2 linked regions of the Notamacropus eugenii genome follow. The protein of the gene in region 2 purifies or fractionates together with the protein of the main gene of each other region. This does not show direct contact. Links are inferred from orthologs where the notes say so. Each region holds a gene or a part of one and is shown on either strand. Other genes may lie near its edges. The genes, in order: ABCD3 and PTPN1.

What was found.
Region 1: the proteins of PTPN1 (region 2) and ABCD3 purify together in Homo sapiens (affinity purification with mass spectrometry; 3 studies listed by BioGRID and IntAct, with this or other methods). This does not show direct contact. The link is inferred for Notamacropus eugenii from reciprocal best matches to the Homo sapiens genes PTPN1 and ABCD3.

The regions. Positions count from the first base shown.
Region 1 is NC_092873.1:269,763,661-269,778,669, reverse strand, and holds the start of ABCD3 (ATP-binding cassette sub-family D member 3), read right to left. Parts: upstream 5,958-15,009; 5' UTR 5,842-5,957; coding exon 5,705-5,841; intron 1-5,704. UniProt on the Homo sapiens protein: Broad substrate specificity ATP-dependent transporter of the ATP-binding cassette (ABC) family that catalyzes the transport of long-chain fatty acids (LCFA)-CoA, dicarboxylic acids-CoA, long-branched-chain fatty acids-CoA and bile acids from the cytosol to the peroxisome lumen for beta-oxydation.
Region 2 is NC_092872.1:516,308,263-516,323,510, forward strand, and holds the start of PTPN1 (tyrosine-protein phosphatase non-receptor type 1), read right to left. Parts: upstream 5,585-15,248; 5' UTR 5,345-5,584; coding exon 5,288-5,344; intron 1-5,287. UniProt on the Homo sapiens protein: Tyrosine-protein phosphatase which acts as a regulator of endoplasmic reticulum unfolded protein response. Mediates dephosphorylation of EIF2AK3/PERK; inactivating the protein kinase activity of EIF2AK3/PERK.

The sequences.
Region 1 (15,009 bases), on a different chromosome or scaffold from region 2:
AATCTTCATAATATGGTTATGAAGAAAGGACTTATTAAAGGCAATGGCCTATAATGGAAAAGGCAGTGGATGGATCTGGAATAAGAAGGGATCTGGATTCATATTCTGTCTTTAACATTAGTCATTTACAGTGTAGCCCTAGGTAATCCCTAGGCCTCAGTTTTCTCATTGTTGGATTAGATATTCTCTAAAGTCCTTTCCAAAGGAGAAATAAGTTGTATACAGTACAGACTTTACATCTCATGTGTGAACCTCCTTTTCTATTCTACTTTGTTAAACGGAAATGTCCTTTTTTGTTTTGGGGTTGTTGTTGTTGTTTATGATGCTTGTTAAGACAGGAAAAAATTTTAATACTTTAAACAACTTAAAATCCTTTCCAGTTCTAAGTACTGTGGATCTCTATAAACTGCTGAGGTCACTTACTTCACAAGAATGCAATGAGGATTTAAGATACACATATATGGAGCACTCTCCATATAGCATTAATCTCTCTTTACTTCATTTCACTTTTTCATGTCTGTCTTGTCTCCCCAACTATATTTTTAAACTACTTAATATTTATTGATCTTACTTTTATTGTATCAACTTCATTTTTGAATGTCCCCTCCCCAGCAAGCTATCCTTTGTAACAAAAGAATAAAAAAGACAAAAAAAAAAAAGTTTGGCAAAACTAACCAACACATGAAGTGAATATGAAAGCAGACGAGATGCTCCATACCCACAGTCCTTCAACTCTGCAAAGAAGGGAGGGAAGTATATTTTCTCACCTATTCTCTGGAACCATGCTTCATCATTATAACATATTTAGGTTATAAAAAAAATTTTAATTACAAAGCATAATTACATTAAAATTAGATTCAGTCTCAATTATTTTGTTCTTTCCATTTACATTGTTGTAGTCACTGCATATATTGTTTTCCTTGGTTCAGCTCACTGCAGGCTAGATCAGTTCATTTACACCATCATCTACTTCTCTGAATTCTTCATATTTACATTCTCCCCTCTTCAGAGGTGTTTTGGCAGAGATTGGATGACCAATTGTCAGTTATGTAACAGTGGGGATTCCTTTCATATATGGGTTGAACTATATGCCTCTGAGATCCCTTCCAACTCTGATTCTGCATTTCTGCGATTTATCATTTTACAGCACCGTGACATTCCACTATGTTGATGTACTACAATTTATTCAGCCACTCTGAGGAGCATTTACTTTATTTCTCATTATTTGCTAAAACAAAAATCATTTATTTTGGTTAATATGGGATCTTTCTCTTCATCTTTGACCAGTCTTTGGGACATATGTCTAGTAGGGGGATCTTTGGGTCAAGTATTTCAGTCACCTTTTAGAATGTATTTCAAACTGCTTTCCAGAATTGGTTAGACTAATTCACAACTCTACCAATAGTGTAGAAGTATACCTGTCTTTCTTTAGTCCTGCCTCTTCCATCACTGACCAATCCTATCTTTGCTAATTTGCTGGGTATGAAGTGAAATCTCCAACTCTACCATAAGCCCCCGAAGGCAGATAATTGCCCCAGGACATTTACCACAATACCTGGCAAATAGTAAGCCCTGAAAAAACATGTGCCTGAAGACAGGAGGAAAAAAAGTCTGGCAGTAGGAAGACAAGTTAGAAAACTACTAAAGTAATCCAGCAATGAATTACCCAGGCTTTAGAAGAGGGTGATGATAGTGAAGACAGTGAAGAAAAGATGAATGAGAAATATCAAAATGTAAGAGCTGACAAAATGTACACGTTAGACTTGGGAAAAGTGAGCAAAGTCAAAGATTACTGAGAAAAAAGTAGTTCAACTGCTGTAGGGAATCTGTACATTGATTTCCAAGGAAAAGATGACATGCTTGTAGAGTTACACTCAAGACTTAGAACTGAACTGCTTTGTTCAATCCTTTCGTTTTAAAAGACAGTGAAACTGCAGTCCAGAGAAGTGAAATGATTTGCCTATGGTTCACTCTCCAACTTGACAAAGCCTGAGCAAAGCTTGGGTCTTGTGATTCCTGAGTCTGTGCTCTTTCCATTATGCCATGTTGTCATGAATTTAAGATGATCTTGACAGCTTACTCAAATGAGGGCATTCTAATGAGTAGGAGATGAAAGGACTAGAGGTTCTTCACAAGATGCAGTTGAAGCCAGGAAAGTCTTAGATTTCATTTCCTGATATGTAAAACAAGGAGACAGGACTAAATTATTTCTATAGTAGTTTCTAGCTCTAAAACATTAAAGCTCTACAAATGAGTTCTAAGATGGAAAATACAAAGAGTGCCAAGTACTGAGCTTTGGGTAATCTACACAGGCTGAAGACAGAAGTATGTAGTAAGAAAGGTACAAGAACCAAAAGAAAAAGGTAACATGGAAGGCAGGTCACATGGCTTGACTTCTGTTTAGCTATTCTGAGATGTTCTAAAACATTTTACCATTTTTATTAAGGATTTGGGGGATGGAGGTGCTGGAGAAGGAATAAGGGTAGATAGAGGAGAAACCCAAGTATTTTAGGATTTCATATTCCTGCATCTAATAAATCCATCCTATTAAAATTTTGCCATATAATTAATAATGACCATTCACAGCTGACAGATTACTTGTTCATACTTTATCAATGTTTTTCCCTACAAATTAGGTTCAAAGAACCTAAATGAGGTACATGAATCTGCCTATCACCTTGATAGGTTTTGTATAATCTTTCCAAGTGTCTAAGGAATAGAACAGAAAGCTTCTTCCTCTCATCAAAATTCATAAACATAATATGAACTCAAATGAATGACCCTTAATATTTTATTTCTTCCATATAAAAACATATCTAAAATCTTGCCCCTTCTTCAAGGCACCAATCAAGTCTCACCTCCTTAATGAAGCCTTCCTTGACCACTTATATGGATCTCTCTTGAATTCTATACCATTTATTATCTATACTGTTTACTGTTACCTAATCATAAGTTACTTTACATTTGTAAACTTTTTGTATGTTTGTTTTATTGACATAATTAAATGTTATGTGCTAAGACATGAGGATAGCTTATACTTTAGCAAGGGTAGCGGGATGGCTGTTTCAGAAAAAAAGAAGGGTGCACATACAAGAGATGTTATGAAGATAAAATTGAAAGACCTTGGCAAGAGATTATATATTGGGGAAGGGGGATGTAAGAGAGTAAGGAGTTAAGGATGATGCCTAGTGTGGGAGACTCAGTGACTGAGAGGATGGTGTAATCTTGAAGAGTAATAGTTAGAAGAGAGGGAAGGGCCTGGAGGGAAGAGATAATGAGTTCAGTTTTAGGTATGTTCCCTGCACTACATAGATCACCCAGGTGAAAATGTCCAAAAGGCAGGAGATACCATATAATTTACATATTTTCTGTAGCTCTCTTATCAACTAGTTATGGGTTAAATGCTCCACAGTAACTAAAACAATAAAGTACTTAAGCACTTAGTGTATAGGAGTATTGTGCTAAGTGGGTACTAAAGGAAACACAATTTTAGATAAGACAAGGTACCTTGAAGGGCTTACAGGTCAATAGAAAAGGCTCTATGTGGGTGCCAACTTCCAGTCAGCTCATTTTCTAATGGTCTGACTGGAAGATTAAACTTAAACAAAAGAACTGTTTTCACTTTACTTTGCAAGAACTCAACTTCAGAGGCTTCTGGTGTCCAACATGTTTGAGTGCCTAGAATAAGGAAAGGCTTGACCATTGGACTTCTGTTTTGATTAACCTTTACATATATCTAATTAACCATTATCAAAGAGATTCATAAGGACAGTTAAATATAAGTACTCCACCTATTAAACAGGCAATTTTCACAGGCTGTAATACAAAAGGTTCATTTGTCTTAGCAGGTTACAGAAAGATAATTAAGACAATTTGGAACACAGTAGACCTATAAAGCTTTACAAAGGCATCCTGGCATGGCAGAGAGAGCAGACCAAGACAACACCAGTTAAGGTCCTCCTTCTGATTCTAACCTCTCAGTGCTCTAGGAAACCCTCTAAGATTCTAAATTGCAGAGAAGGTGAAGACCTTCTTTGGTAGAGGGAGTTTCCTCATTCAAATGTTATTTCTACAAATGAAATCATAGGATCTGTCCCATTCCTATAAAACTGTTTTGACCATTTCACCTCCTCCACCAAAATAACATTTTAAAATCTTTATCAAGCTTATAAATATTTTGAGGATTAAAAGTCATTTGCTTCATGTTTCTCTTTATTTTAAATCCCAATTTTATCAATGACCTACAAATCTCTTCTTTATTTCCATTCAACAGATGATGAAGCAATGATTTCTTATTCAAATATATTCACCAGAATCCAATTTAATTTCAAAACGCTTTGCATAATTTCTAATGAAAGGATTGTCATTTTGTGTGATTTTAACAAAAATGATGACATGCCAGTGTTCTTCCAATCAAATATCTAAAATTTTCATCAAGGTCTATCTCATTCTGTTATCTACTCTCTAAACATTAACGCATTTATTCTTATTATTTAAGCACTACTCTCTGAGAGAATATTAATACAAAGTCACATTATATTTTTATTTGAGAATTTTTTTTAATTGGTAAATTTCTAGGTGAGGAATAGAATCAACTAAGTTTAAAACGGTGAATTGCTTTACGTATGCTTTACTTACGGTGCCTAACAAAACAGTTGTCAGGTTTTTGCCCTCGCAAATATGCTCCTTTTAATGTGAAAATTCTCACCACACTAAGTCTTTTGGGCAATTCTGAATTATTTCCTATGGGAAACTACCGTTAATAGCATAGAACTGAACAGCTGTTATCATGGTCTCTAGTTTTAGCTGTACTTCTTCCAATTGAATAAAACTTAATTTCTTCATACTCCAGATTTTAGTGGTGGCAGCTCTCATGAAATAAAATGGTAACTAAAAAACCAAACCAACCCACAACATGCCGAGGAAGGCACAGGGCCTTTTGGGCTGTAACTTCACCAAAAACCCGGTTATCTAAGAATATACAGAAGCCTAACGTCTTCTGGAGGACCAAAGCCGACTCCCGAACCCCTCTCCTCCAGTTTCCCGAACCCTAAAAATAGAAGTGAAATCTGCCGGAGGAAAGCCTGGGAAGCCGAGCGCAGGAGACCTGGATCCTGCACCTGGCCGGCGGAAGAGATTGCACGCCCTTCACCGGCTGAGGCCAGGGAAGTCGGAAAGCACCCGCGGAGGGCCCGGCCCGCTCCGTCGCGGGCTCTGGCCCGAGATTCGGCCGCTCTCGACAACGAGTCACGGACCAAGGGCACCAATCGCTCTCCCACCAGACTCTGCCAAGGGGCTCCAAAGGGAGTTCTCAGACTCGCCCTCCTCCTGGACGGTTTGGGGCGGACCCCTGACTGTCCTGAGCTCGGGGGCAGCCCCGGACACAGGCTGCGGGGCTCCCAGGCGGGGCCCCCAACCGCGCCAGGTCCTGCACCCACACACGGGGTACAGGGAGAGGAGGCCGAAGACGCCCTGGAAAGTTGGGGCGAGGAAAGGGCCGCGAGCGCGGAGGGGGAGGAGCACGGGAGAGGGGACGTCAAGGGAGGGCAGCCCTACCCACCCCCCAAATCCCAGAGGCCCGCGGGGAGCGGGACCCGTCGAGCGAGTGCAGGCTGGCCCTGGCAGGACCCCAAAGCCGGGACTGGAGGCGCGGGGGGGCGCGAGGCAGACTCCCGAGGAGGAGGGGGCGGCGGGTCCCGCTTACCCGTGCTGCGGGCCTCCAGCACGGAAGGCGGCGGCGGCCGCGGCGCGGCGCCGCTTATGGAGCAGACAGAGCACTAGGAAGGCGGCCCCGGCCAGCGAGGAGTTCCGCGCCGTCAGGTACTTGCTGTAGGCCGCCATAGCACGGAACGAGCCGGGGACAGGGACGGGGACGCGCGCCCGCTGCTGCGACTGCCCGAGCCGAGGAAGCGCGGGGAAGGCTGGGAAGCCTGGGTAGACCTGAGGGAAAGGGGGAGGAGGGCGGAGGGGTGGGCCCACGCGAGCCCGCCCCTCGCCTTGCCTCGCGCGCGGCCTCGCGCCAGTCTTAGCCACGCCCCCGTCCGGCTCGTAGCTGCTGGGAAGCCCTAGCCTCACTTGGTGCCCCGCCCCGCGGCCGCATTGGCCACGCCTCCTCTGCGCTCGCTTCCTGGGAAGCCCTCGCCTCGCCCTCCTTGCGCCCACCTCTCTCGCTTGTTTGCCTGCTATAGCGGGCTGAACTTGAACCTCTCCTCCCCGAACGTCCTCCCACTCTGTCTCCCCACCATCCCGACATTCCCTTCCTACTCCCCAGGCGTCATTAAGAACTGGAAGAGCACGCACAGGCTGAGTGTGCCTTACCTATTCACTCTGACCTCTCCACACCTGTACCAGCCCAGGTACCACCCCACACACCGCGAGAAAGAGGCTAAGAGGACACGGGTCTGCCTTGTGGTCTCCTGTGAACCCCACTACAGATTTGCGTGCGGAGGAGATGGGGCAAAGGTAGCCCCAGCACCTTGTTGTTTTCCTTGCCCTCCTCCAAGAAGCGACCAAGGCTTCGCAGATGGAATAGTGCCTTCTTTGTCCCAGCAGTTTCCGAGGGAGGCTGTAGTTTTTAACCTAGGGGAACGGGGTGGGGAAAAGGAAGATAGTGGACCGCAAGCTTAAGAACACCTCATCCAGTTAAGAAAGGACTGCACACTCAGGGAGCATGACAGCTTGGATGCCCAAGAATGTAGAACAAAGGTCACCCTTGCTTTATCCCACCTCTCCAGTCTTGCTAAATGCAGGATGGGTGATATGCTTGGCCCTGATCCCTAGCAGCCAGAAGCAAGATGGAACGAGAAGGGTTAGAGTAGGCAGACCTGGAGGAGTGGTCATCGAGGCAAAGGATAAAGCAGTTCTAAACAGATATACCGCCAGAGTTTCAGGGGATTGAGAGTGGGTGAGTGAGTCCGAATGGCAAAAGAGCTGACCCAAGCAAGAACCAGAGCTATGGAGCACTAAGGGATAGAGATGTGGAAGAGCCACGGAGACCTGGTCCTTCAGTGGTACCTAGCTAATGTCTTTTTGGACAGAGCTTGTGGTTATGTTGATAAAGGTAACTGTTACCAATGAAGAGCAGAAACTTACAATCTTAAAGAGTTGTCTGAAGCACTGAGACTTAAGTGACTTGCTCAGGGTTGCACAGGCAAGATGTATACAACAGGTAGGACTTGAATTCGGTTCTTCCTGGCACCAAAACTGTCTCTTCTGGATACTGCTTCCCTTGATTGTCAGGGAATTTTTGCTACAGCGTGAAACTAAGAAGAGCTCAGACTTCTTGGTAGAGCTATAGAATGGAGTGATTTCAGGTGACAAGGTAGAGATATATATCTACAGTAAGCTGCTCACCATAATTGGACTGCATTGTCAGTTGCCCCTGCCTGTAACTGCCTGCCTGTGATGTTTATGTCCATATATATCTTCATGCTTCTAGTAAAGAAGTTTGTCATACTAAAGACCCTTGTTATTCATTGTCTTACTACTGAGGAGGGAATATGGGAAGGGTAAGGAGGAACCATGTAATACCCTCTTAATTAGTCTCTCTTCCACTCTTGCTTCTCTCTAGCCATTTCTTCACATAATCACTAAAATAAACTTCCTAGGGCATAAGTCTGACTTTCTTACTCCTTTGCCCAAGAAGTTTCAATGGCTCCCTATTGTCTCAAGAACTCAGGAGAGAGAGAGAGGGGGCTGGATATATAGTCCTAGGAGTCATATGCATAGAAATGATTGTTTACATCCATGGGAACAGATGAGGTCACCAAGAGAGAAAGTATGGAGAGGGAAGAAAGGAGGACCCAGGATAGAGCTTTGGGGAACACCCACAGGTCAGGGGTGTGGTTCAATTGATAAGGCAGCAAAGAAGACTGAGAAGGAGCAGACAGGTAAAAGAATTAGGAGCGAATCATATCAAGAAACCCAGAGAGGCAAAAGTGTCCAGAGACCATCGAGTGGTCAACAGTATCCAATGAGGCAAAAAGAACGTTAAGGACTGAGAAGAGGCCATTTGCTTTGGCAGTTCATAAGAGAGGTTTCAGCTGAGCAGTGAAGTCCGAAGCCAGGCTGCAAAGACTTAAGGAGGAAATGGAAACAACAAGAAGTCTGAGAAAGGGAGGAGAGATGGCATGCAGTGTTTTGAAGTGATGGTAGGGTCTAGTGAAGCAACTAGAAGATAGTTTAAACATTGGGAGCAGGCATGTTTTAAGGACACAGTCTGCTAAGGAAGACAAGAGGAGATGGGTTCCAAGGTACAGGTGGAGAGGCAAGATCTACTCCATTAACAGAGCCTAGAGGAAAGGAAGAGTGTGTGAGCAATGAGATCAAGGGGTTTTGGAGATGAACTGAAAGGAGGAAGATGTAGCCCTTAGGTCAAACTGACCTACTTACTGTCTCCCAAGTCATTTGGGGCTGCCCTGCCTGCCTGTAATATCTTCCATCCTCCCCTCTGCCTTTTGGACTCCTTAGCTTTCTTCAATTTAACAAATTCTTGTTAAGAACCCACTATATACAAATATACGTGTGTGTGTTATGTATTTGTTTATGTATGTAACATATACTCACTATATGTATATATAGACATATGTACACCTACATACACATACACACACACACATACACACACAGAGCACTGGGCTAGGTCCTGGAGATATGAAGACAAAAAAGTAAAACAGTTCCCGACCTCCAGAAGATTACATTCTATTTGTAGGATACAACATATAAATAAATAAATGCAAAATTACCAAGTAATTCTAGGACATGTTGAGCATAAACAACTAGAGTTGAGGGGATGGGGGAGAGGAAATATGGCAAGGCCTCCAAGAAATGGCGATCCCTGAACTCTGTTTTGAAGGAAGCCAAGGATAACATTTCTCCGGCATTTGAAATTGTCTTCAATTGAGTGCATCTCTCTAATATCACTACTTTGTATATATTCTCTACATGCCTTCATCTTTATGTATTATCTCCCCCGTTGAAGGTAGGGACAATTTCACCTTTGTGTTAATAAATGCTTGTTTTTTGATTGATTGGCAAAACAATTTATTTTTTAAATAACATGGGCTAGATAATAGTACTTATTTGGGTAGATTCGTAGTTCATTCATTGGTAACAACTGTCCAGAAAGAATGTTTATCATGCCATAGGACTTTGTCTATGACCTAGTCATTATTTTTATAAATGACTCAGGTGAAGATTTAGAAAGATTTCTAATCAATTCTGTATATGATACAAAATAGATAATGTTAAATTAGTGAAAAGGATACAATTGTATCTTCATAAGTTAGACTAATGGGCTGAACTGAATAAGATGAAATTTCAAAGGAATAAATACAAAGTCCTGAATTTAGTTTCAAAGAACTAATTACATCAATAGAGTATGATAGAGATCTCTTTTGACAGTAATTCATGTAGAAAAACTAGAACTTTTAGTTTAACACAAGCATAGTATGAGTCAGCATGATGCTAAAAAAGCTAATACAATCTGAGGCTTATTAATTAAAAAGTGTCCAGATCAAGGGAGGTAATAATTCAACTATACTTTTCATTAGTAAAATCATGCCTTAACTATGGTACCTAGTCTGATAATCATATAAGAAACTCATTGACAAATTAATAGTGTCCAGAGGACTGTGATAGAAATGAGAAAGGATCTTGAAAGCATGCCATTGGCTCATAGATTTAGAGCTGAAAGGGACCTTAGAGATCATGTGGTCCAGTGCTATCATTTTAGAAGTGAAAAACACTGACCTCAGGAGGTCAAGTGACTTACCCAATATGCAGCAGGCTGTAAGTGGAAAAACCACCATTCAAACCCAAGTCTTCTGACTCAACATATAGTATTCTTTGTACTATACCAGAGATGTCACTTAATACATGAGGCATCTTTCAGGGAAGGGTATGTATTTAGTATAAAGAAGGAAAAACTTGAGGGGAATGTAACAGCTGTCTTTTAAAAACTGGGAAGCTGTTATATGCCAAAGAGAAAGTAGACTTATTCTATGTAATTCAAAGGGCAGAATAGGATCAATGAATGGAAATTGTAGAGAGAAAAATTCCAGCCCAATATGCCATGTAACTCTGCTGCACTGCTATTTTGCCTGACCCATAGGTTTCTTCAGGTGCATACCACTAAACCTAGCCTGTGATCAGTCTAACACCATTCCTGGGATGATGACAACTGATTCAGTCTTAATAACAATTCATGCTTATTCATTGCTTTAAAGTTTGCAAAGTTCTTTACATATATTTTCTCAATTGATCCTCACAAATAACCCTATGAGATAGGTGTTATTTTTATCATTCCCATTTTACACTTGAGGAAACTGAGACTGATAGAATTTAACTGACTTGCCCAGGATCTCACCAATTGTAAGTGCCTGAGATAATATTTGAACTCATATCTTTCTCACTCGAAGTCCAACGCTCTTTCCATTATATCACCTAGCTACCTATATCTTTCTCCTCAGTCTACTTCCTCAATCCATTGACAGACAAAACATGTGGGGGCTCCCCAGACACCTCCAGTTTCTCAGATAGACACATAGAAAAAAAATCTTCCCTTCTAGTTCCAACTTATGGATAAAATACATAGAGAACCACACAATTATTCACACAACAGATTAACCCATGGGCAAGCCCCAGTTCCTAAGTAGTACCTAGTCATATTTTCTCAAATTTTTGTTAGCAGAACCACAACAGCAGCCTCAGAAGAATCAACAGCACTAATGGACCAGCCCTGCTTCCTACATACACAATGCCAGTGATTGTTCTAAGAAGTATAATCATCAGCCACTGACACTACCCACCACCTCCCCAATCCCCCAGGCTCTCTCATGCCTTGCTCAGTGACCTCCAAATGTTAGTGCCAGGGAGATTGGCTACCCTACCACTCTGTAGTGTTCCTTGTCATGACCTGCTAATGCAGAGAAGCTGAGAAATGGTACTTCCCCACCACTAGGCTCCCACATTTTCTGACACAATAGAAAGAAAAACTTTCCCGCAATTAGAGCTACCAAACAATTCTTATCTCTCAGGTGAAAGAGTTTCCCAGGCTTCTGAGTTGAAGCTCAAACTGGGAAAAAGTTGATGTAATAGCACCCCCCCTTAGTCTCTGTTCTCAAGGCAGCTCCCATACTTTGCATTAAGGATGTTCTACCACAAGACTAGAGCAGACACGCTCTTTAGAAGTGAAAAAAATCCCCAAAATGTGAATAGTGATGTATCAGCCTAGATAATATAAGATTACAAATAATGTAGTATTATTCTTGTCGTAACAACAGTAGTAATAATTTTAATGGTAATGTGGCAGAGGTAGCCTCTGAGTCATGGATACCTGGATTTGAATCCTTCTGATATGTTAGCTGTATGACCTTAGGCTAGTTACTTAACTCCCTAGTACAGGAGACAGCTCTCTAAGACTATAAATTGCAGAGTAGTTGGTAGTCATGTTTGGTAGAGATAGTTTCCCCAGTGGGAGATTCATTTACCAATGAAATCATAGGTCTGAACAAAAAATAAAATTATTGTTGTCTAATAGAACTTTCCAAAATAGATTTCTCATGCCAGTGAAATCAAAGGTCCTAGCCAAAACCAAAAAGAGCAAAACACTGATGTTTATATAGCACCAAGGTATAAATTACCACCCCCCTCCAAAAACTCTATACTGCCACCTGAACCATATTAAAATATAATTGGGAAATATTTAATAAAATAAATAAAAATGTAATCAAATAAGATTACATCTTAAAACTAAATCAATATGCAACTGCATGTATCCTTAAGTATGGATCATTGTCCCCTCTTTCTATTTGAATTTGATGCCACTGATTATAGCACTTTACTTACATTATTTCATCTGATCCTTATAACAGCCATGGGAGGAAAACATTTCAGATTTCAGGTTTTACCAATTTTAAAGATGCAGAAACTGTGGTACTTAACTGAGTTTAAGTGACTTTCCTATAGACACAGAGCTAATATATATTAGATAGACACAGATGATAGATAGATAGATAGATAGATAGATAGATAGATAGATAGATAGATAGATAGATAAGTAGATAGATGATGGATGGATGATAGACACCAATGAACAAAGACAGAACATTTCAGTGCTCATTATGTCAGGCCCTGTGATGAAGGATGTCGATATAAATAAAAAGAAACAAGATAGTCCCCTACCTCAAGGAGATTACCTTCTAATGAGGGAACATAGCACATGAAAGGAAGCTCAAGTGGGTTATATGGTAAGTAGTAGGGAGGCCTGCCTCTGGATAAGATGAAGCAAAAATCTCCCCTCCCTCTTCAGAGACCAGTACGGTTCCAGGGCTGGAATACAAGAATCATGTGGGATGGGGATGGGGATGATTACAGAGATGGAGGAAGCATATTGTAGAGATGACCAGGAAATCGAACCCAGTCTCTTGATTCTAAGTCTGCCACACTTGCCATTATACTTCACTGACTCTAACAGAGTGATGTTTTAGCAACATTAAATGTTGACATATTTGATTTGGGAGTACATCTAAGGCACGGTAGATCTAAGTTAGCTTTTAACAAATGTATCATCAATTAACTTCTTTGTAACAGTAGGTGCCTGTTTAAAAATATATATCAAATATCTAAACATACATTAAAAACATATATATAATATATGTATTTTTAATGTTTCATCAGTTTACCAAAATGCAGCTTTGAAGACTCTTCTCAAAGTACTTCCCACTCAAATTTATTTTAAAATTATATAATATCCTTTGACAAGTGAAACTACAGAGATCACTTGATTCAATAAGCCAGTGAGTATTAACAACAAACAAGGTATAAAACACAGTTTACCTTACAATGTTTGCTAAGGTCATGGAGGAAGATTCCACGCTATGAATAAGGTTTTCCAAATGCTCCTATTAGTAGATAATATAACCCTAATTGCACAGAGACCTGCCATATTACATTCTTTCCCACAAAATCCACAGTAATTGGATGACTGGAGATCAAGGTTTGCAAAGCACTTTATGGTTATTTCATTTGGTCTTTGAAATCACTCTATGTGAGAGAGGTACTATTATTATTCCTGTAGTATAGATGAGGAAGTTCAAAGAGGCATTATGCTACAGCTGAAAGGACACTGAACTTAGGATCTGAGTTGAAGTCTAGCTTACACTTACAATGTTTGACCTTGGGCATAACCTTTCTGGACCCTCAGATAATTCATCTGTAAAATGAGGGAGTTGGATGAGATGGTTTTTTGAGGTCCCTTTCACCTTAAGGTCCTATGAAGCTCACAGAGATTAAGTGATGTATTTGCTCAGGGTCACACCACTAGTAAGCATATGAGATATAATGCAAGCCTAGACCTTCCTGGCTCAAAGTCCAATGCCTCATCTACTATATCACGTGTGTATAAAGTGCTTGGCAACTGGGTGGCAAAGTGAATAGCACACTGGGCTTGGAATCAGGAAGACTCAACTTCATGAGTTCAAATCTGTCCTCAGCTGTGTGACCCTGGGCAAGTCACTTGATCCTATTTGCCTTGGTTCCTCATCTGTAAAACAAGCTAGAGAAGAAACTGGCAAACCACTCCAGGATCTTTGCCAAGGAAATCCCAAAATGGGATCACAGAGTCCAACATGACTGGACAACAATAATAAAGTACTTAGCAAACTTTCAAGTTCTCTGTAAAAGACAGCTGTTTTGATGGCCATACCAGGCCAGTTTAGAGAGTTAATACTAGAAAAAATTATATGATGATCTTGTTAACTAGTAGTGATCATAGATTGGTCCAAGTCATATAAAATAGTCATCTTAAGTGAGGTCTGGTTCAGAATCAAGAACCAAAATGAGTCTAACACTTGGGACAGGAAGTGACAGGTTAAGCTGAATTAAACAAAGTCATTAGAACTGAGGATTAAAGGAAACCTGAGTATAAAAATAGTTTCCAGGCAAATCTTCAAAGCAAGCCAGTCAAGTGTTTTCTTTTCCATCACATCTGGCTACCCACATTTAATGTGGTACTTCTGAACATTTAAGTTCAGAAAAAGTACCAAGCTGAGAAAGTCACTTACCTGAAGGAATGACTGCATTCCTTGTAGAATCTTTATAGAAATCAATCTTTACCTGAAAGAAAAAGGACTTTGGAACAGGTACTATGGTATGTACTTCTGGACCACATGACAGCTATTTCTTTTTTTGTTTGTTTGTTTTTAAAAGTAATTTTATTTCTTAATATGAAAAATAATATAAACACAGTTTTATAATTTATATTTACAGCAACCAACCAATATATATTCAGTGACTCAGCTGGGTGCTGAACCAGGCACTGGAGATACATGTACATATACAAAGAATGAAACCATCTTTACTCTCAAGAAATTTATATTCTGATGAAGGAAACAATAAATAGATAGGTATAAAGAGATAATATAGCTAAATAATTTTAATAAGTTAACTATCATTTTTCTTTAAATGTATAACTGGAACGACTTTATTCCATTTCCCCACCCCCATAGAGGAAGATATTTTGAGACATTCTGGGCCTGCCTCATTGTTCCCGAGGCTTACATTATTTGAGTCTAACATTATTCCTCCTAGCATCTTATTACTGTACTTTGTTTTCCACTGGTTATTCTTAGTATTTTATATACGAAATTGTTACTGTGAAAGTATGAAAGAAGGTTCTGTAACTTGAAACAAATCTGAAGCTCAGAGAAGGATTTTTGGCAGACTCACAGTTTTCCTTTTTGGAAGGGACTACAATGTGTTCTCAGCAATGTACAATACCCACTACTGAAACTCTACACAGAGAGAATTTCTCCCTTCCCCACCCCCCCATAAAATATTCGAGAACCATTACTGCTTTGCTTGTTAAGATCTTAACTTTTAGAAAAAACAAGTCTCAAGAAATAAAATTGAATTTTTCATTGGGTTTCTTCATATCCTTTCTTCTGTTCATGCTTAATCAGTGATCCCTTAAGGGTTAGTTCAGAATTGGCATCTTTTCCTCAGTCCTTT
Region 2 (15,248 bases):
TACTATGTGCATAGCTCTATAGCACACTGAGACCAAATCTAAAAATAACATCATAAAGTTACAGCATGATTCAGAAGTTGATAAAAAGACCAAGACGTTCCACTTCCCATGTGACAGTTAAATTCATCACAAGCCAAGTATAAATTTACTGATGGCTTCTAAGAAACAAAACAAGCAATTCCAAATTCTTGCATATATACAAGTCCTTTTCAAAAATCATTATCATACATTTTTGTATCCTCCTCAGAATCTAAAACAATGTATGTGCCAAGTAGGTGCTCAATAAATGTCAATACAAAATGAACAATAGGACATAATAAGATTTTCTTTTTGGCACAAAGGGGGGAAAAAGCTTATTCTCTGAAATGTCCCTCCTGGGAGAATACAACTGGTATTATGCAAAAAATAAGAAGCTCTGGGTTTTAGTCTTGATTCCATCAATCATGTGGGTAGCTAGTCATTTCCTCTCTCTGGGCCTATTTCTTGATCCACAAAACGAAGGGGCTGTACTAAGGGAACGGGGATGAGGGCTTGGCTGGGTACAAACCTGAAGAAACAAACCTTGGGCAACTTACTTAACGTCTCTAGGTTTAGAGATTTTTCATCTGTAAAAATGAAAGGCTGAACTAGAGAAACTCTAAGTCCTCTTTAGTTCTAAGTCTAAAATCCTAAGATCTCTCCTAGCTCTGAAATTCTAGGTAACTAAGAACTTACACAAGCCTATGACAAATTAGAATATAAGAACACATTGTATTATGTCCCTATTTTCCTCCCTGAGTGATGATCTGTATTCAGGCTCTATTACTGCTAAGGAAGCCGGCACAGATGCTGCCTAGAAATCTTAAATCTGATATTATAAAATACATTTTTCCTTAAAATCAAACCAACTCCAGCACCAACCTCACTGAACATATCACAGTAAAGGAATTTCTGTAACCTACTTGCTGAAACTAATTAGGATAAACTCAGAAGCAATTTAACTTGACATTGTAAGGAGAATGCCAACTTATGCAAGAGGTCTATGTTTTCACAAAATACAAATGACTCAATATACACACTTGTGTCATATACTGCAGCTTAAAGGAGTAGTGTCAAAATAGGACAGTGCGAAAAATCTCATATACTAGAGGAGAGGGGAAAAGCAATTTATATATCCAAAATCTCTAATGGAAGTTTCCTATTTCTTTATATAAAGTATGCAGTAAAATAATTCAACCGCATTATTACAGGGCTTAGTAGAGCCTTCATATTAAAAAGAAAAATTCAGTTACATGGGCGAGGGGGTGGAGAATCAGGACAATGTCACAACTGAAAACGATTTTCATAATCATTGTCCTCTGAATGTTTCTAGGAGTCGCTGTCAGAGCTTGCTCACTTCCAAATGTACCAAGGCATTCATTCCTATAAATATGTCAGTGATGTCAACTGAATAATGGCACTAAGTTATTCTCCTCTCCACCATATCTGCTGGTGCTTCCAATTAGCTCAAAATACCGATGATTATAAGTGTTTTATGCCATCTCCAAAGTTATGGACAATTAAAATTAGTTCTTGTTTTGTTCTAGTCTAAATACCATTTAGAATTAATAGGTCACTGAAGATGATTAAAACTTCTTATTCTATTCATTTCATCTTTTTAAACAGAATGACAAACATGTCATACTGTACAGATTCTTTTCTATTTTCCCCCAAAGTACTACTTCCTTGTAGACAATGTTCTTTAAACAAACAGTATCATAAAGTTTTAATATCCCATCCCACTGGAGTATCATATGCCAGATATACATAACAGTATTAAGGAATTTTAGCGAGACATTAACATATATTTTTGTTAAGGGTTAAATCAGTCATTAGGGCAGCTAGGTGGTGCAATGGATAGAGTGCTTGGCCTAAAGTCAGGAAGACTCATTTCCCTGAAGAGTTCATGTATGGCCTCAGATACATACTAGCTGGTTGACCCAGAGCAAGTCACTTAACCCTGTCTGCCTCACTTTCCTCATCTGTAAAATGAACTGGAGAAGGAAATGGGAAATCATTCTAGTATCTTTGGCAAGAAAACCACAAATAGGGTCACAAAGAGGTAGATACAACTGAAAAATGACTGAAGAACAAATAAAATCAGTCATTAACTCTCCTATATAGCTAGTTTCTGCTTTTTTTTTTTTTTTATTAAAGCTGGCAATCTGGGTGAACTTGTCTATAATGTGCAATAAATCCTGCCTTTAAGCCACTGGCTATTGTTTCATAAAAACTGAAACTATAAATATTGTAACAATAATTTCATTTATACCACAAAATGTATATGGACTGTGTCTTACTGGATATCTTTTTACTAATTTTTTTTACTCATTTCAAGACCTCTTCTACCTTCCTTCAGCTCTTTTTCCAAGACCAGTGTTTCTTTTCATGCTTGTGCTCTTCTAGTCTCACCAGCTCAATCCCATTAGGTATGGCCCAAATAGCATTCAATTTTCCCAAACATGATATAATTGCTTAAATGCTAAAGAATGAATTTTAAATACTGCCCCAATATGCTATTTATCACCAAGGTAGTTTTTTAGTGTGAATGCTTATTGATATTTGTACTGTTGATCAACTTCAAAATTCCAAAGCATTGTTTACACCCTACCAAACGGAATGAACACAGACTGTTGCTTGACCAAGCAGCTAAAGCAGGATTTCCCTGCCACATTAGTCTGAACCCAAAGAGAGACTTCTTCCTATTTCACATTTAGTCCTTTTTCCGTTATCTGTTTTTGTTCATTAGTAGAAAATCTGTTTTGCTTTTTTGGTGAGGAATAAAAAGATGCTACCAAATTTTAACAGTAACTTAATGCACTTAGCAAACTAAAAGTTAACCATATTTTCCAAAAGCAACAGAGCATGTTGATTTGCCCAGACCCATGATTTCATCAGGTTTTTTTTGGAACTTCCAGTACAAAAATTTCCTCCACCAGTGTAGATAAGCATCTACCTATAATTTGCGGGCTAAAACAATTTCTGGTGCATAGTGTTTTGTCTGGAGTTACACAATTATTATGTGTCAGATTTAAACTTTCTAACTCAAAGCCCAGCACCCTAATATGCAAGCCTGCCTCTCAGTTGTACTATTAAGAAATATTTTATAATAAAAATATAATGCCATGAAAATCTGAGATTCCTTGATTCTCCACTAACTGCTGGCATATGTTCTTTTCTACATTCTTGGGAAAATAATGGATTAAAATGAGTAGATATATAAAGATAAAAACTCCCTACTCTGCTAAGATTTAATAGATCAGTTTCATCTCTTTTTCTGAAACATCTTATCTTTTCCTAAAAACACCTTAAAGGTTTAGTTCTATAATAAGAAACAACTTAACAGTTTGCAATGGAGAAGAATTTTTAATTTTCAGGACAGTAAAAGTAAATATTAAGAGGTGAGGGAAAAGACTCCACACTTTTTTAAGGTCATAGAAACCACCTCCAGTATTGCAGCAATGCCAAAGAGGCCGGACGATCCTATTTTAAACCAATCACATAACTTTCCTAGTAGAAATGTGACAACCTTTTTTGAGGGTCTAGCATGGTTAATCTTTTAAAAGCTTCTCTTCTATGTTGACTAGCATCATTACTTAAACTTCACTAAGGAAAAGTTGGGATTTAATGATACTGTGCCCTAAGAAGGAAGGGTCTAACTATAAAGACAAATTCATACATTTATACATTCCTACATTTATACATGTATTTATACATCCAATCATAAACTTTAGTTACTTTTTAGAAGCAGTTTTGCTCTAGTCTTCCTATTAAAAACATCCTCCAGAAATTCGCCAGTTGCCAGTAAAATGAATTTTGTTTTCTTACAGACGTAATAAACAAGGAATCTAAATTTGGCATTCCTAACATCAAAGATTACAAAAGCCTGGCAATATATGAACTCATTTCCATCAAGAGCTGATACAAAAAAGAATGCTCTCAAATAAGGCAGTTGAAACAAATCAGAATAAAAGCCCTGGGCAGCCCAAAAGCCTTTTATCAGTCACTAACAGCTTAAAGCATTTTTAAAAAAAGGATTTCAAAATAGATTTTTAAACGCTAGCAGTAGAGCTCACAATTTGTTTTTGAGCTTAACTGAAGCTCAAGTCAAGATTGTTTGAAACTGAGTATGTAGGTTTCTCCCTTTACAAAAGGGGGCAAAACCCTCTTTACTTTCTGTTGTGCTAAGACACTATTTTATTAACCTTTATCCCCGCCCCCAACTCTCTTCCACACAATTACATTTTCTTTAGAAGAGTTGGCTACTAGTAAACTATCTCTTTTCATATTCCTGACCTAATACTTAAAAAAAACCAACTTCACTTATACACCACCACATCCTAAGCAGGTCATACAAGACAAGATATCAGCAGAACTAACCAAGTGCAAGGTGGCAAGTTTTGATTATTTGCCTTATAGATATGCAACTCATCCTAATTTAGTATGGATTAGAGGAGTTTCAATTTCCTTTTTTCCTCTTTTATGATCCTTGTCTGGAAGGCAATCTGTGATGCCAAAGACTGATGGTACAACAGGCCACTTCTCATAAGCTACCCTAGTAGAAAAGGGTTCTACCATCTTTGGGCCAAAACTGTGAAAGGGATTGAGAAAAGTGGTGAAAAGGGGAGGGAAAGCGAAAATTGTGATTTATCTTATTTCCGGGAGACAATAATCGAAGAAATTACCCTGGCATCCAAACCTGTTCCTGGGGGAGGTGAAACTGGGGGGGTGGGGGATTTGAATCAATCCCAGGAGACAAAGAATGGGTGTCTAGGAGATGGGGTCAGAGGAGATCAGATTTGAAGGTGAAGATCATTTTGTCCAGCCCCATCATTTTTACAGATGAAAAACCTGAGGCCCAAAGAGGTTGTGTGCATGTCAACCTAAGGACAAGTTAGGGGCCATGTAGGACCCAATTTTACAGGAAAGGATGTGGGACCTGAGGAACAAAGGGGGTCTTGGGAGGCTTACTAGGTCCTGGCGGGGGGAAGAGCACGCTCGCCTCCGAGAACAAAACAGGGGGGGATGGGGCGCCTGGGGAAGCACTGTCAGGATCTGCTGGGGGGAGAAAAGGACGAAAACCTCAGTCCAGTCGGACGTGAAGGCAGGGTCCGGGCCCAGGAAAGGTACGGGCCTGGGGGTGGCGGGGCCAAGGGACAACCCGTCTGGAGTCTGCGTCCCCAGCAGCATCCCCCGACTGAGGGGAGGAGATGATACTAAGGCCTCCCCGAGTCCGAGGAGCCAGTGCCCGGGGTCGGCGTTCCCGCACCTGGTAAATGGCCGCCCAGCTGCCGGCCTGGTCGATCTGGTTGAACTCCTTCTCCATCTCGAAGACGTCCAGGCCGGCGGGTGTGGCTTCTCTCTTCGTTCCCGCTGGTCGGTCTCCTCCGCCGCCGGCGCCGCCGCCCTCCACCGCCTCCTCCAGCTCTGGGGCCGCCCTCCCCGCCACCTCAGACCCTCCTTAGCCCTCAACCCCCCGGGAACCGGGCGCCGCCGCTACCGCCTCCTCAACCACCTCCGTTGCCTCTTCATGTCAACCCGGCAGCCGGAAGTACGCACCGCGCCTGCCTCAGGCCCCGCCCCGGGCCGACGGCCAATCCTCGCGGGGGACTTCCGAGGGAGGCGGGGCCAGAGGGAGGTCCCGAAGGGTGGGGGGGGGGACACTTCCCTTTCTGCCTCCTTGCTGCGCTTTCGTCAGGTCCCGCGAGACGTCGCGCTCCGAGCTCCCCTTCCCCTCCCCGTACTCCCCGGACTTCCGGTGTAGCGAGCTATGAGCGCGCTCGCGGTTACCTAGGCGACCCCGTGGCGGCCACCTGGCTTCGGTGTCCTCTTGGGCGCGTGCCCTAGTGTGTGGGTTGGTAGATGGGGTGCCAAACTTCCTGACTCCCTGCGTGACTTGAGATGAGTCAGGTGCCCTCCCACTTGTCCAGCCTCAGTTTTCCAAGGTGTGAAAGGGAGCGGACTCCCAGATCCGCTCCAACAACAGGCCCTTTCAATTACTGCTAACTTATTTTATAAAAAAGGGCGGAGAAACTGGGTGCAGGTCAGTTAGCGTCGAATTGGAGGGGCAAGACCCAGAAGATCTGTCGCAAACTGGCTGTGCGCCCCTGGGGCACTCCTCTCTGGATCGGTTTACCTCTCTGCATAACGAAGGGGTTGGCTGCAGGAGTTAACCGTAGCCGGCCAAGCCCTTCAGGTGCATCATCCGATGCTCCCGCTCTCCCTGGGAGGCAGGCGCTATAAGCATCATTCCCGTTTTGTAGGGGACACGGGCGCACTCACTGGCCAGGGCCCCTCTGTCCTCCCCTCCTCCCCAGCAGTGCTTGCAGCCCTACGGAGAAGCCCTCGGCGGTCCTGGGAGGCCTGCCTGACAGTAGTAAGTCAGTTCTGCCTTGTGGCAATTCCGTATTTTCTGATAGGTAATTTGGTGACGGGTTAAAAAGCAACACTGCTAGAGGAAAGGGTCCCAGGGAGTTGATTGAACCCTGTCTCATTGATCCAGCAGTCAATGAGCCATTAACCAAAAAAAAAATTCTTTGAGTAGTTGACATTGTAGAATGATGGCTATACACTTCACTTAAAGCTACCTTCTACTCCCTAATCAATGCCAGTGGAATCCTGGCTGTGGGCACCATGTACTTCGTCATGGATTTTTCTGTTCCACCTACCTGAAGGCATGTTTAGTAATTTTAATCAAGACTCTTTGCTCCTCTGCCTCCACCCTGAACCCCAATTATTCCTACCCTTAAATTTCAAGTTGCAAGTGGAAAAACTAAAGAATGAAGTATATTGAGTACAACTCTACTTTGGTAGATGTCCCTGACATAGACTGAAGAAACTCCACTTGCCTTGTCTCACTCTGTCTGACATGGGAGATGTACCTTGAGTCACAGAACAATGCTTGTAGGGAGGGACCTTAGAGAGGATATAGTCTAACAACCTTAATTAACACATGAGGAAATTGAAACCCAGAGAGATAATTGATTCACAGATTTAGAATTGAAAAGGACCTTAGAGGTCATCAAGTACAATCTTTAATTTTACATCTGAGATGACTTGCTTAAGGTCAAAGCCAGACCTGGGCTTAGAATCCAGATCTCCTCACTCCTCGCTTTAGGGAATTTTTGTATTATGCCACAATCTGATGAATAGCTTTCTTAATAGATAGTTTTCAGGCCTTCCCTGTTTTCATGTCTCCCTGTCCCCTTTTATTTCCTGACATGGATTCCTATAAGTCATTAAACCCCATTCAACTTCCTTCCCTACCCTTAAGTTTCACACACACCCCCACCAAAAAACAAACAAGCAAAAATAGTAAGTTCTAGCATTTGACATCTTTATCACTCAACTTTTCGGAGAGAAAGGTATTGACAAAAAGAATATGAGAGTTTAGGGAGACCAAGAAGTCACTACATGTTATTCTAGGGAGGTGAGTATGTGTTAATGAGATGCAGACCCTAAGTGACCATGGTCACTTTGGTAGTAATAAAGACAGAGCTGCAAATGATAATTAGAAGTAGTTATGTCCCCCACCCTCCCCTTTTCTGGAAAGGGAAATAAGGGAAGGCAAAAGTGGATTTACAGAGCAGAAGAAATAACAATTGTCCCTATATCATAAATTCAGGATCAAAAGGGATGTTAGAGGCAATTAGAATCTACTGCCCCTATATACCACATTTTACAAAGGAGGAAAATTAGGCCTACATAAATTGAATGTCAAAGGTTTACAGTGAGTAAATCCTGAGCTAAGACAGGATTTGAACACAGTTCTTCCTGACTCCAAGGCCATTGATATATCCACGTAAGCTACTCTTCACTGCCTCTAAAGTAAAAGGGTTCCAAGGCTCTATTTTGTGTTATACATTATATAATGTAATTGAAGGTGGTTACTTGTAAGTGTTGCCCCAGAACCCCACTTGCATTTTTAAAAATTTTCTTTTTGAAAAATTTTGCAGTGTCCCATAGTCTGCAAAGAAGGGAGGTAGGTGCATTCTCATATTTCTTCTTCAGGATTAGGTTTAGTCATTATAATTAAATAGTGTTCAGTTTTGATTTTTTTTTTCATTTCCATTTCCATTGTTGTTGTCATTACATTGTTTTCCTGGTTTTGCTTACTTTACATTGTACCAGTTCGTATAAGTTTTCTCATGTTTTTCTGAATTCTTCATATTTCACTAGTACAATAATATTCCCTTGCATTCCTCTACCATAATTTGTTTAGACATTCCTCAATTGATGGGTTTCTGCTTTGATTCCAAGACTTTGCTATTGTAAAAAGTCCTGCTATAAATAGTTTGGAGTATATTGATTCTAGTTCCTGGCAAAAATTTTAGAACATTATTTCTTAAATGGTTTATGAGCACTTAAGGAAGTGATCACTCTGAGCCAGCAAAGGGCACAAGCAATGAGAGTCTAACTTCATCTCCTCTTTTTGATTGTGTTACTTGACTGATAGATAAATATGGTGTGTAGACAGGTATTCCTGTTTTCAACAAAGAATCATGGCACAGTCTCTCAAAATAGGCTTGTGAGCAAGAGAAAAAAAGTGGGCTGGACAAATATAGTTAGATGGAATCGCAGACTGGACCCAGAATGGTGGTGATTAATGGATTTATATCAAACTGGAAAGTGGTCTCGAGTACTCCAGGCATGTGTCCTTGGATCATTAAGCACTGTTATCAATGACTTGGATGAAGGCAGAGAGGGCATACTTACAAAAGTTGCAAATAACATAAAGAAGGGAGACATAGCTAACACATTGTATACCCTAATTGGGTTTGCAAGATACCTTGACAAGCTACAACGATAGACCAAATGTAATAAGATGAAAATTAATAGGAATAAATGGAAGAATTCCATGTTTGTTTTTTAAAACAAGTCAGATATGTAAGCACAAGTTGGGTAAGCCTTGGGTAGATAATAATCAATGTTTTTAGTGCAATGCAAACTTAACATGAGTCAACAGTTTAAAATGTGAACCAAAAGAGCTACTGTGATTTAAGTCTACATTAATAGAATCATTTGGAATATGGGAGTTGATAGGGCTGCCACATTCTACTCAGAACACTTCAGGAATACTGAGTTCAATTCTTGATGCCACATTTAGGAAGGCCATTGATAAGCTAGAGAGAATGAAGATGGCATAAAAACCATCCATACATATGAGGTTGGTTGCAGGAACTAGGGAGTTTTAACCTGTAGAGGAAAAGACTTCGGTTGAGCTTAACATGATAATTATTTTCAGTTTAAAAAAAACATTTAAATGCCTTTTATATAGAAGACATGCTACATGCTAGAGATAGAAAAACAAATAATTAATGCTCATGTTGTGGTTACATTTAACTGGAAGGATAAGCATATGATCCTAGGATTTCAGAGCTTAAAGAGACCTTAGACATCATATCCAAAGAGAAGTAACACAAACACACAATTCAGAAGAGAACTTACTAACAAATGGGGGCATCAAAAATTTGAATAAGAATTGTCACTTTAGTTGAGCCCTAAAGAGAAATTTGAAGAGGCAGAAAAGAGTTAGTTGATATATGCCATGATAGGGCATGTTGAGTTTAGGGAAAAACAAATGCATCAGTTTGGCTACAATATAGACTATGTGGAGGGGAATTATGGAAGGAAATGGAAAGAAAGGTGAGAGGCAGATTGTGAAGGACTTTGAATGATAGGCAAAAATTTTGCATTTTATCTTCAAGGAATCCTGGAAAATTTCTTAGTAAGAGTTGGATATGGTCAAAACTTTTTTTTTTTTTTTTATGGATTAGATGGATTGGAGAAGAGGAGATCATAGAAGGAGGGAAGCCAAATAGAAGACTTGCTGAGAGATTAATTTTGATTCAACATAAGGAACAGCTTCCTAACAATTACAGCCATAAAAAAAGTAGAATGAGCTTCCTCTTGAGGTTAGGAGTTCCTTATCACAAAATCTTTAGGCCATTTTTCAAGGATATTGTAGGAGAGAATCATTTTTTTCTATGATTCTTTACATGTGCCCTTATTTTCTTGCCAGTTTCTCATATTGCTCATTGTGGAGTATTTAGCATTTTGTCTTTCAATAAACAGGTACAGTCCTATAGTAGTATTCATATTGGTAGTAGAAGTAATAATGGTTACAGCATCAATGAATGATATTAGTAACAGTAAGGGTGGCAGTAGTAGCATGGTCAAGAGTCCTGGTGATAATGGTATTGGTAGGAGTAGTAGCAATGATAATGGTAGTATTCCCAGTAGCAGTGTTGGTAGCAGCAGTACAATTGTACAGATAGCAGTGATGGTAATAGGAATGATGGTATCAGCAGTCATAATAGTAATAGTGGCATTGTTAGCAGTAGAATTGGTATCATTGGTGGTAATTGTAGTAATAGCTAGCATTTATGTAGCAATTTAAATTTGCAAAGTGTGATATATATTAATTTACTTGATCTTCACAATAATCCTCAGAAATGGGGTAAAATCTCCATTAGTATTATTTCCTGGATAAGGAAACTGAGGCAGACAGAAGTTGAGACTTGCCTGGACTCACACAGCTAGTAAGTTTCTAAGGCCACATTTGAACTCAGGGCTCTATCCACTGTCACCTAATTATTGGTAGGTGGAATAATGGTAATGAGAGAAGGATGATGTAGTAGATAGCGTGTTCCATGTGGAGTCGAGAAGACCTAGATTCAAAGCCTGCCTCTGAAACTTATGGATTATGTAACCAAGGGGCAAGTTGATTAATCTCTCTGACCCATAGTCTCCTCATTTATGAAATGGGGATAATAATACCTATAATATCTATCTCATAGGATTGTTGTGAGGCTCAAATAAAGTGCTTGACAAAAGGGCTATCTGTATACATGTTTTCCTTATACAGGGCTATTCAACAGTCTTCTACAGTTTTAAGCTATTAGAAGCTTAAACTTTTATTTAAAAGCTACTAAAAACTGCGCTAAGACTTTTGAGATACCTTGATAGTATTATAGGATTGGGAGCAATAGCAGCAGCAGCACAGTATTAGAACACCTGTGACTGGGCAAGAACCTCCTGGCATCACTGGTATGAAGAATGGCCTCTTTTGCTGAAAGTAGCTGATAGATTTGAGCAGTTGAGGTGCCAGCTGTAACTTGCTGCAGGTTATAAATATTTCTCATAACAACTGATAATGCAGTGAAACTAAGAAGTTCTCTAGAAGTGAGGCCTTAAAAAAAGGAAGACAGAAAAGGGAACCTAAAGTGTGACATATCAGAATGATGGGGGGTGAGGGGAGGACAGAGAGGAAGGGGAGGAAGAAAAAGATAGCATTTGTTTGCCACATTTGTACCACAAAAAAGTTAGTTTAGCCCACAGTCACTTAACCATCTTGTCAAAATTTACATAGGGGTTTTACGTGGTGAATTCTGTTGAAGACCATATGCTATTACCTGATAAAAACCACTGCTTTGAAAATGCTAGGGTCAGTGATTGCTATAGATCTTTTGCTAGTATTGGCACCAGAGTTTCATTTTCAAAAATATATATCTTTGGAGACACATAATATACTTTCAAAGATATACCCCAATTTTAACTACTATTATGGTAGTGGCCTTCTACAACTATGGGTAAGCTTGTACATGCATTTGAGAATTGAGAATTAGATTTCCAAAAATACATCCAAGGAAGAATTGCTGAGCTACTGAAAATGCTCAAAGCAAACTCCAAATTAAACTCATTTTTAATCACTTAATGTCCAAGTGTCTGAGCAGGCGGCCATCCTTCTCTCTCGGTTCAATTTTTTCTACTGTGGACATATTTGATATATTGACCAGGTGATATCAGTATTCTTATGGCCACTTCACAGATGAGAAAGCTAAGGATGAGAAAAGTAAGTAACTTGCTCAAGGTCTTTTCTAGAGGTAGTGAATAATTTAATCTTTCCAGGGAGAAAAAAAAAGACCCTTTACATGTTCTTTATATCATAGCATTTAGATCTTGAAGATACCTTGGAGATCGTTTAGTCCAGTCCCCCACTACCCCCTCTTTTTTTTTTTTTAACAAATGAGAGAAATGAGGCCTAGAGAGGTGTAAGTGACTTTTCCAAGTCAGATAGGAAGGAGTACAGCTAAATTTCAAATCCAGATCATTTGACCTCAACTTCACTTTTCTTTCCATTATATCCACATAAGGTACTCCAATAAAGTAAAACCTAAAGAGCAGCATAGGATGGTGAAAGAGCATTGGATGTGGAGTCTAAAACCCCATGTTCACACCCTGAACAGTCATGGCTGACAGCTCATCATTGCCATAGCTCACCTCTTTCTGCTCTCATTGCTTCTCCTAACTAACAGAACTCAAATGCCTTTTCCAGATTAGTGAACAGTTTTATTTCTGAAGTTCAATTCTAGTTTTCACAGTGGGTTTTGTTTTTTCTACCCTTGATTGAGGTTCAGGGTTATTTTGGTGCATATATGTGTGTGTACACACACACATATATTTCAAATACTGCCTCTGAAACCTAGCGGCTGTGTGACTCTAAACGATTCTCTTAACTTCTCAGGGTCCCCAGGCAATCCTAACACTCTAAGTGATAGATAAGTTGTTGGAGGAATTTTCTCACAATGTGAGTTCCCTATAGCAATAAAATTATAGGTCTATACCTATTTATATATAGTTGGTTGTTGTCCTTTATTCTCTAAGAGGACCAAGATGACATCACTGTGTTGGGGTCAGGGTACAGTGTGTCCAGCTGTGGCTGATCAGACCAACTAGAGCTTGAAAGACTCTATCACAGATTGGCACAAGTAGTCCATATGAACATTTGGAGTTGAGATGTCTCTAAATTTGCACATTTCACATTTCCTTTGAGCTACTGTAATTCTGCTTATAGAGCACAGCACCTTCTTTGATGAGGGCATGCCATGCTGGGCAGTGCTGTGCTACTGTCTCTGTTGTCACACAATTAGTTCTCAAGTTCTTCAGAGAGACAATGAGAGTACCACTGTTTTGCTTCTTCTGACCTCCTTGTGAATGCTTGTCTCATGTGAGTTGTCCATAAAATTGACTTTTAGGCAAACATACATTTGACGTTCAAACAACATGGCTGGCCCGTTGGAGTTGTGCTCTTTGCAGCAGAGTTTAAATGCTTCACAGTTCAGTTCAAGAAAAGTCCTCAGTGTCTGGTACCTTATCTTGCCAGGTGATCTTCAGAATCTTCCTAAGACAAGTCAAATGCCAGTTTCCTGGCATGGTGCTGGTATACGGTCCAGGTTTCAAAGGCATACAACAATGAGATAGGCACAAGGGCTCTGTAGACATTCAGTTTGGTAGGCAGTCTAATACCTCTTTTCTCCCACACTTTCCTTCAGAGCCTCCCCAACACTGAGCTAGCTCTGGAAATTTGTGTGTCAGCCTTATCATCTATGTGTTCATCCTTGGAAAGTATGCTTTCAAGGTAAGCGAACTTATCCACATTATTCACGATTTTTCCATTTGTTGTAACCTATGGTTCCATGTATGGATAATGTGGGGGTGACTGGTGGGGAACCTCTTTTTTCTTGGTCAGGCCAAAATAAGCACAAGTATAAGAGAATTGATCCATTTCTGTTGTATCTGACACTCAGAGGCAGCATTGAGCACACTATCATCTGCAAAACAAAAAGTCATGCACCAACCCTCCCTAGGCTTGTAGGCTTTTCAAATGATGCCATTTTTGCCCTCCTTGAAGGCATCCAACAGCACTGCTGAAAACATCGTGTTGAAAAGCATGGAGCAAGCACACAGCCCTGCTTCACTCCATTGGTGACTGGGAAGATGCAAGTGCATTGTCCATTGTCCAAAACCTGCGAAAGCATGCTGTTGTGAAACTGGAGTACACTACTGGTGAACTTCTTTGAGCAACCAAATTTTGCCATGATCTTCTACAAGCCCTCATATCTAACAGTATCAAAAGTCTTGGTCAGATCAAAGAATGTTGTGCACAGATCGCTGTTCTGCTCCTGGCATTTCTCCTGGAGTTACCAGGCAGCAAACACCACATCAGCCATTCCTTAGCCCTTTTTGAAATCACATTGGCTCTCAGGTAGATGACCATCTTTCAGGTGAAGGATCTGTCTATTAAAGAGGACTCTGGCAAGAATCTTGCCAGCAATAACTAAGAGAGACAACCCTGTGATTATCACAGTACAACCTGTTTCCTTTTTCTTTATAGCAATGGGCAGTGGAGGCATCTTGAACTCCTGGGGGCTAACCTCCTCTTGCTATATAATCTGGAAAATTTTTCAGTCAGCTTTTGTATGAACAGTGGATCCCTTGCCTTGTAAATCTCAGCTGGAATAGAATCAGCACCAAGTGCTTTGCCATACTCTTCTTCAGTTGGAAATCTGGCTAGAGAGGGATTGACTTTAAGCTGAGGTATATGGTCAATGGTTTCAGAATTTTGTGTGTGTGTGTGTGTGTGTGTGTGTGTGTGTGTGTGTATACACATATAATATGTATAATTGGTATCAATCACTATAAAACAATTCTGAGTGAGAAAGTGATTGAATGCTTTATGAACTATCTTCAGGTTTCAAAAGATTACATTTATATTATACTTTGCAAAGTTATTCATGTACATTGTATAATTATGTAAATTACCACATATCCTTGTAATAATCTTATGAGTTTGTTAGTATAAAGTATTCATCAGGGGAGGGCTATCTGTGGTGGTGCAATGGATAAAGTGCTAGAATCAGGCAGGAGCTGGAGTCCAGAAGACCTGAATTCAAATTTGACTCTTGGTAAGTCCCATGGCCCCTATTTACCTCATATTCATTATGTGTAAAATGAGATAATAGCACCTACTTCCTGGGGTTGTTGTGAGGATAAAAATGAGATAACATTTGTAAGCATTGCAATACTGTAAACACTAGCTATTATTATTATCAATAGCCACACTTATTGTAGTAAGATGGCAGAAACCACTTTTGCTTTAAATCTGGAACTTAGGTCCACTTACCTTGCAACAGAGGAAGGATGACCAATTATCAAGGGTTCATATGGCAGGTTTAGAAGGGGGCCTTGGAGCCTCTATAACATTATATGAACTTAAGAGGAAGATGGTAGGTAAAAGAACATAGCCATGTTTCATTTCAGTGTTCTTGTAACTTTCTGGGAGTCACTTCTTGTAGCTTTCTAGGAAGACCTGCTGGTTCTTCCAGCAAGTACAATCAGGTGTGTGTGGGTGTGTGTGTATGTGTGTCTGTGTGTAATAGGAGCACTGG